Solanum lycopersicum: one gene and its partner. Each later gene encodes a partner of the first gene's protein in a complex. Links are inferred from orthologs where the notes say so. Each region holds a gene or a part of one and is shown on either strand. Other genes may lie near its edges.

Evidence for each region. The genes of interacting proteins can lie anywhere in the genome.
Region 2: mediator of RNA polymerase II transcription subunit 8 (region 1) and mediator of RNA polymerase II transcription subunit 30 share a complex: the UniProt entries of both Arabidopsis thaliana proteins name them as parts of the mediator complex. The link is inferred for Solanum lycopersicum from reciprocal best matches to the Arabidopsis thaliana genes MED8 and AT5G63480.

Annotation. Positions count from the first base shown.
Region 1 is NC_090802.1:67,515,717-67,520,326, forward strand, and holds part of mediator of RNA polymerase II transcription subunit 8, read left to right. Parts: intron 1-449; coding exon 450-574; intron 575-648; coding exon 649-829; intron 830-1,244; coding exon 1,245-1,352; intron 1,353-1,434; coding exon 1,435-1,505; intron 1,506-2,671; coding exon 2,672-2,962; intron 2,963-4,610. UniProt on the Arabidopsis thaliana protein: Component of the Mediator complex, a coactivator involved in the regulated transcription of nearly all RNA polymerase II-dependent genes.
Region 2 is NC_090807.1:2,029,146-2,032,719, reverse strand, and holds the start of mediator of RNA polymerase II transcription subunit 30, read left to right. Parts: upstream 1-774; 5' UTR 775-897; coding exon 898-1,296; intron 1,297-2,637; coding exon 2,638-2,736; intron 2,737-3,297; coding exon 3,298-3,396; 3' UTR 3,397-3,432; intron 3,433-3,513; 3' UTR 3,514-3,574. UniProt on the Arabidopsis thaliana protein: Component of the Mediator complex, a coactivator involved in the regulated transcription of nearly all RNA polymerase II-dependent genes.

The DNA of each region.
Region 1 (4,610 bases):
CATGCTGGAATCATTCTCCAGGTGTTCCTGATGGCCCCATCAACTATCAAATGGTCCCAACTCACAACAACTTCTCTGATAGTTTGAGGCATCACCCAGTTCAAACTGAATAGGGAAAGGAACACATGCCATATGCCTGCATCCACCGCACAACGCAAGAAAAGATGATTTACTGATTCTGCACTTTCCTGAATTTCTTTTCCAAATTTCTGATAAGGTTAATGAAAGAAATAAGCATGTATTTTTTGGGCTGTGGAGTATATTTGTGTTGACAGAAAATCCGAAAGATGCTTTCTGTCTATGTTGCTCAGACTCTCAGTGGGTGTGTATCGGATTTTCCAAAAGTATTGTATTTTTGAAGAATTTGACACGGGTGCGGCATCAAAAGTGAAGAGTCCGCGCAGCTTAGCTTTCTGTTAGTTGTTACTTACAAATACTTTTCGATGCAGTTCTACCTGTTATGCTGTCATCAAAGCTGCTGCCAGAGATGGAAGTCGAAGATAATGCCAAAAGGGAGCAATTATTACACAGCATGCAACACCTATCGGTAGCATCCCAAATTGAGAAGTTGAAGGTGGAAAGCTCTGCAGATGCTATTTCTTCTGTTTCTGTATCCTTGTGGCTTTCTAATATACCTATAACACACAGGTTAGAATTGATATGATTGGAGCAGCATGTGAAAGTGCTGAGAAAGTCATAGCTGATACGCGCAAAGCCTACTTTGGAACCAGACAGGGGCCAACACTGCTTCCAACTATTGACAAGGCACAAGCAGCAAAAATTCAGGAACAAGAAAATTTACTTCGCACTGCAGTAAATCATGGTGAAGGTGATAATATTTATGTTCTGAGTTTTTTCCCAGAAACATCTTTTCTCCTTCTCAGAGTTCGTTAAATGTTTTGCTTGCACAAGACATTGACGCTAAAGATACTTGGACCCCAATGGTCCCTATGTTGATGTTTAATCTAAACTAAAAGAAAGAGAGAAGGATTCTTGCAAACTATCAGATCCACTGAGTGCCTTGTTAATCAGAAAATTGCACATATTTCTGATGACGAAGAAGGTGCAATTGCAAGTCAGATGCTTCAATGTGCTTCTGCTATGCATCACAATATATATGTACAATAAACCTGACATGTGTCTAGTGTGTGTAGCATCCCTTTGGTGGTGTTTGGCGGTACACTCGTTTATGATTTGTTTTAACATGTATGCTCACAGATTTCATGAAAATGGTACTTATGCAGGATTACGTGTACCTGGAGACCAAAGGCATATTACTTCTGCACTTCCTGGTCATTTGGTAGATGTGCTTACAGTGTCTGATGGCCCCCAGTCTTTCGCTGATTCATCCGGTAGCCTATCATCTATTGTTGTCCTACTGTTTCCACTTTATTTCATGAACATCTGACTAGAGAAATTGATGCTGTGTTCAAGTAGGGACTTATCTGAAGAATACTCCTCCCTTTCCATCGAGCAATGTTAATAGTCAGGGAGCTTTGTTACAGGTCAGATTTCTTATAATTTGCCTTGTAAATATGCCTTTTGCTTAAGGGATGAAGATCAATTTGAAACATGATTTTACTTCCACCCTCCGGCGTCCTGTAATGTTGTTATTCAAAGGAGCTATGAACAAAGGGACAAGTGGTTATCTTGTTAATGAGTGAATATCAATTTGGAACACATGAATTTTACTTCCACCACCCATAATTTTGTTACTAAAGGAGTTATGAATAAGGAACAAGTAGTTATCACACAATTATGCTATTCTATCTTTATCATTTAAAAAATTATGCTATGGTTTCTTTCTGTTTCGAAAAAAGGAGCCTTAACAAAGATAAGCGGTATGCCGTGTTACCAGGGGGTCACAGGTTTAGCCATGTGTAGGTCTCTCGCAAAAATGCAAAGTAAGGTCTGCACCTTCTCTAGTCCCAGGTATAGAGGGAGCCTAGTGAATTGGGCTACCTTTTTGTCGTCTTCTGTATGGTTCTACTATCTCTTTTACTGTTCTCGGGGAGGGAATTGTCATGCCTTTTTATTCCCAGTTCACTCTAGGTTTACAGACCTCTTTTTAGGTTGGCCAACCTGATTATTTTCACATGTTCCATAGCACCAAATGGATACCAAAAAACTGCACATCTTAGAATGGGTTTAGATCAATTAGTTACTGAAGGAGTTTACTAGGTCCACTATAGTATTTAATAATCATATACATGTTCTATGTTACACACCAAATACACTACCCTGATTGTAATTAATATCAACTACTGCATGTTCTTTGTATACTTACATCCTTGGTTACACATCAACTTCTCGTGCAAGTTGTAACGCCTGTTTTTTTTTTTTCTGGGGGTGAAAGAGCTGTAGGAATTATTTCCCTCATTTATTTGAATTTATTGGAGGATGGGAGATCAAGTAGAGTTTGCTATTAAATACTTATGTAAGAGTTCGGAGAGGAAATGCAAATCTCCTTCTATTCATGGCGCTAATCAGTAATATGGAAACAATAAATGATTAATCTGCCAGAAGTATACTGATCATATCCTTTTTCCATTCTTTCTCCTTAACTAAACATTACATTAAATCAATGTTCCCCAAGTTATTTTAATATATTGAGTCCTTATTGTCTTTTAAGTTCGTCAGTTCTAATATGTATGTATTGCTCTTGGAGTAGGCTTCTGGAGCACTTCGGGCTGCAGTTTCTCCTTCTGGGCCCACTTCCTTTGATACTACAACAGCATCACCTCTGCAACATGTCAACTCACCTAGGTCTAGTGCTAACATGATGAATACACCATCTCCTCAGCAACAGACCCATCAGCAACAGCAGCAGCAACAGCAGCAGCAGCAGTTGCAGCAGCATCAGCTCCAACAGAGGCAGAAAATGCTGCAGTTACCTCAGCATCAGCAGCAAATTCTTGCCCAACAGCAACTTAGGCAAGCCTCAATGCCTGGACTGGGGCAGGTACAGTTTGTACAAAAATCTTGATTGGTTTAAGGTATCTTTTTGTGAATTTGCACGACGTATAGCGTGCTTAGTATGGGCTACCTTACCATTACCCTTTTACTCATAAAGAACAGGCATATATCTTCTTTTGTTTCCTCCAATTGTCAGCTATGAGAATTGAATCCCTAGCAGTTCCTTCACAGAAAAGCCACTTTTTTTGGCCTTTAATATCCAACTAGTTCCATTAGGGAATCCACTGAGTCCTTTATGACAACCCGTAAATAGATTTAGCGGTGAGAGGGCCTGATGAATCACCATCCAACTGCGAACGCCTCTCATCTCGCAAAATTTACAAAAGTTGAAGGCTAAAATTGTTTACCTCATTCAACTCTTGAGTCATTATGATTCATTTAAAAGGTCCAGAAAAGAGTTCTCTCAGGCCTCTGCCACATCCCATGTTGACTTTTAACAAATTGGGAGAAGTCCTCCTAGTTGTGTGGTATCCCGTATCCCCATCCTAGCTGCTCTTTGATAAGGACTGGTAACTTGTCATCCCCATTTCCTTTCCACGTGTACTCCTCTGAACCATGCTCCAGTGCAATCTTTATCAACCCTTGACCTCCAATTAGGGATGTTCATGGTTCGGTTTGGGTCAGTATTGGTTGAAACCAAAACCAAATACATATCAATCAGTTTGGTTGTTGTTATTTGGTTTGGTTCAGTTTTAATGATACCTAATGATATTTCTCTCTTCAATTTTTCCCCTTACAATTAAGAAGGATTTTCCCATCCTTTTTCATCTTTGTGATGTCTTCCATTCAAAATACTTTTGATCATTCATCTAAAGAGGATTCTGGGTTTCTTTTATCCGAAGCGAATGCTTAGCCTATTTTGTGTTCTTTTTACAGTCAAAGACTGACATAAAATAACAAAGAAAATAGATTCATAAATTGGATCCACTGTTTTGATATGCTTAATGGTAAATCCTAGTATGTGAGGACAGGCCACTAGTTTTACAGCCAAGCTCCTGATCAACCTACAGGATTCCCAACTTCTCCAATAGGTAGGAATTTTATCTCATTTCTTCATCTACCAAGGAGAATTAGGTCCATTTCACCAATTAAAAAAGAAAATTGGGACCATTTCCCCGTAAAATTGAAGAGCAAAAAGTGCACTGCTTGCACTGATCTCTTTAAACTTGTTATGGTTCATCTCTCCTTATTTAGCATTCAGACAATTCATGAGGAGGAAGAAGCTCAGATTAGTTAGTAACACATGCACACTGGCTGTTTGTATATACGACATGCGTAAATATCCAATTCAGATTCTTTTCAAAGGGCACTTTACTCCAGGATTGCACATATTTTCCAAAGAGTATGAACTTGTTAATCTTTTAAACAAAATGAGGACAATTATTGATTTTCTGCTACTTTTTTGGGTTTCATTTTTGGTTTTGGAAAAGCTTTGTAGATGACACAGAATCTTTACTTGACATAATTGATACTTTGTAAGATAAAAGAGTTGATTTTCTGAACTGTAAATGTGGCTGCAGCACAGCCTTTATGCTGATATGAATACAACATTACAGTTTTCTCAAAATTAATGAACATTGATTTTCAGCACTTTCAATATGCTTACCTTACCATGAATGACTTCTTCAAACATG
Region 2 (3,574 bases), on another chromosome or scaffold:
TTTAGTTTGCATCTATTTGCGATACATAGACTCTCTCTCATTCACTTTACGTCTTTTTCACTCGTCTTTTTTTCTATAAGTTTATATTTTAAAGTGTATATAGTAGTATATTACATGCATCTAGGTCTATATGACTTGACATCTAGTATGAAATTACTAATTAGAAGACGATGCGTAACTTTTCAAAATTATGAAAAAAAAACTACGTAGTAAATATGATAGGAATGTTTATGTAATCTGGTAATTTTTCTGCAACGTTAAACACAGATATTTGTGCACTTCTTTCCCCCATTGAATTTCGGGGAACTTATATACACGTACTATAATTAAAAAAATATTTACCATTTATAGCAATAATAAAAAAAAATTACTTAATCAGTTTTAATTTATTTATAATACAAGTTTTATACATATTATAAATAACAATTTAATATTACATATAATACAAATTTTAACGATGGATAATACGTTTTTCACACATTTTAATACATTTATAATAGAATGTGTCAAATTTAGTAAACAAACTTAATATATTTCAAAAAACAACTTATAATTCACGTACATTGCATACATAATTCACTTTTAATTCATATTGCAGATTTTACATAATATTGCTATAAATGACAATAAATAAAAAGTATCGCTAAAATCAGTAATTATTTATTAAAATGTATTAATTTATATAATTTTTCCTTGAATTTTGACCCAAGTAACTTGATTTTGGGCTTGATCCAGTAATACATAGCTCCTTACCCGGCCCAAAAAGTACACGCCACGCATAAAACGACGTCATTTTATGCTTAAATTAATTCTCCTTACAACTTCTCGCACCGCCGATCGCCACCACTACCGCCGCCGTCGATCTAGGGTTTTGACAAGCCGGTGACATTACCCGGTATGGAGGATAAAGGCACAATTACAAGCCCTAAAACCATACAAGAACTAGCAGTAGAAGGGCAAAAGCATTTAGAAGATACAATAGAAGCAGCACATCAAATTCTCTCCGCCATGAACGATGAACTCTGTAATCCATCACTTTGGTCCACTCTAAATACAGCTGCTGCTTCTTCTGCGGTGGCGGTGGCCGGTGGAGGAGTTGGTGCTAGTGGTGTTTTGAGTAATGGACAGCAGCACCATACAAACGGCGACATTTCGTCTGATACTTCTTCGTCTTCTTCTGCTTCAGCTCAGCATTTGGATATTGGTGGTGGTGCTCTTGATGAATCTCGTCTGCGTTATAAGTCCTCTATTGCTTCCTTGCGTTCTGTTCTTACTGCAATTTCTAATTCCCAAAAGGTAATTTTACGTATAAAAATGCAATTTTTTAAAACATTTTTGTAATTGTGTGATATCTGTAATTTAAGATAGTGATCTCAGGAAAAGTTAGTTTGATGTAATCATGAATCAACAATGGCTTGATCATAAACTAGTTCGGTTCAGCTATATGAATGAATCACTTCTAGTGAAGTCCATTAAACAGAAAATGTGTAAAAGACTGGGGCTTTGTTCAATGCCAAAGGTAGTTCAACGTGACCGCAAAGATTTGGATCCAACGTAGATAACCTCTAGTTTTAGAGGTTCCAAAGGTTAAAACTATTTGATACTGGAGTGAAGTGGTTCCATATGGATATGGAGGATTCGTATACTTCCACCACCAACCAGCTTGTGTTGAGCCATAGGTGGTGTTGGTGTTCTGTTAGATGGTAGTTTTGATTGGGAATGAAACTCAAATAGATATTCTAGAAATGTAGTTCCTTCGGAGTACTGTAGGAGAGAAAAACATTATCCAGTTTGAGCAGAAAAAAAAAGACATTATCTAGCGATAAAGGTAAATTCAGTGTGAAAAGTGTTTGGTGATTGATCTTAATCACAAAACAAGGGGTTAAACAGTTTTGGTGATTGATATGGGAAAGACATCATGTGGTTATATACTAGCACAATTTGCCCTTACCAATATGAGCAACATTTGCACATGGCAATTGTATATTTTGATGTTCTAGACATGGGGATAATATTTCTTCACTATGAATATAATATTCAGTCGTTTGATCATCCCTCGTCATCAGTTGATGAAGCTCAACTGTGCTGCTTACTCTTTTTCTGATTTGTCTTATATTCTTCTGGGTTTGTGGGTGGCTGTTGGGGGCTGGGGATGGGGGAAGATATTTAACTATGTTTTCGAGGTTGTTCTTGTTTCTGCTGTTTAAACGCACATGAGGTATAAGTGTTTATACCAAGATAAACTACTGCGTGTTATCCTTTTCAAGAAAGAATTAGCACTATAATCACATCTCAAGTCCTTGGTGTTGGTGTATGGATTGCCTTAACATTTGTGCATTGGAGAGAATCTGGTTAAGCAGTAAGAATTTTGTTTGTCAGTATGAACAAATAAATCACTGATGTTGAGTGCATTTTTGTTGCTCAACATATGTCCGACTACACATTAAATGAGTTCTTTTAGTAACTTCTTTCTTAAGAGTTGTGCAAGTATTTGCTCCGTTTTAACTGGAAGTTGTCAAACTCTCCTTTCTGTTGTCTCAATTCTCATGATTAACAAGTTATATTTTCTTGTACATTTTGGAAAGTTGTTAACTTATTGTATGATACTTCACACTCATTACTGGCTTTGTTAGCTAGGCAAAAGCATTGGAAGCTGCTTCTGCTAGTGGTTCACTATCTGCAGCAGATCAAGCGGAAATTGAGCAGCTGGAAGACCGGGCCTCTTCATTAAAGAAGGTATTGATAACATATCAAATTTTGACATATTAGAATTTCCTTGGATTTTTGTTGGTTTTTGGGATGCATGATGGGTGGGTTTGGTGAAGCAAATGTGTGTGCCAATATTTGAACCTTGACTGATGTCTTCCTTGATCCATTGAGTAATTTCTTATCCATTAAAACAATATTGAGGTATACTACATGTTACATTTTCATTCCGGACACATGACAAAATGTCTTACTGTACAAACTTTCTCAAGTCTCGATATTTGTCACAACCTCAAATCAGAACAATATGATTTTGTGATAACATATGAAAACTTGGTTTCAACATCCTCTGCTTGTTGTACATACTGTATTATTATTAATTTTATTCCTATTGCGTTAAAATTAGTCAAATCCTGTTTCATTTGCTTTATGTCTCCCCCTAGTGGCAATAAGAAGTCCTCAAGTGAAGGTAGAGTTTTATCGTACTTGAGTGCATGCCTAATAGTTTTCTATTATCTTACGGTAGTGAAAAATCAAGTTGCTATTGTGATCAAGATTTAAAGCATATTCTATTGTTCTTACAAATTGCAGGAGCTTGTAGACAAGAACAAGCATCTCAAACTTCTGATTGACCAGCTTCGAGATCTTCTTGCTGACCTATGTACATGGCAGAGTCCCTGTTCTACATGACTCTGCTGCTATAACTTCAACCATACAATTAAATCGGTGAGGTGTTAGAGATGTCAAAAGAGCAACGTATTCAATCTTAAGAAACTGTTTTATTTTTTTTTCACTTCTTTTGTACAGAAGTTACTGCTAGATTCAAAAAATTGGTCATCGCCGGACACCTGCTATATGCTGCTCGCGG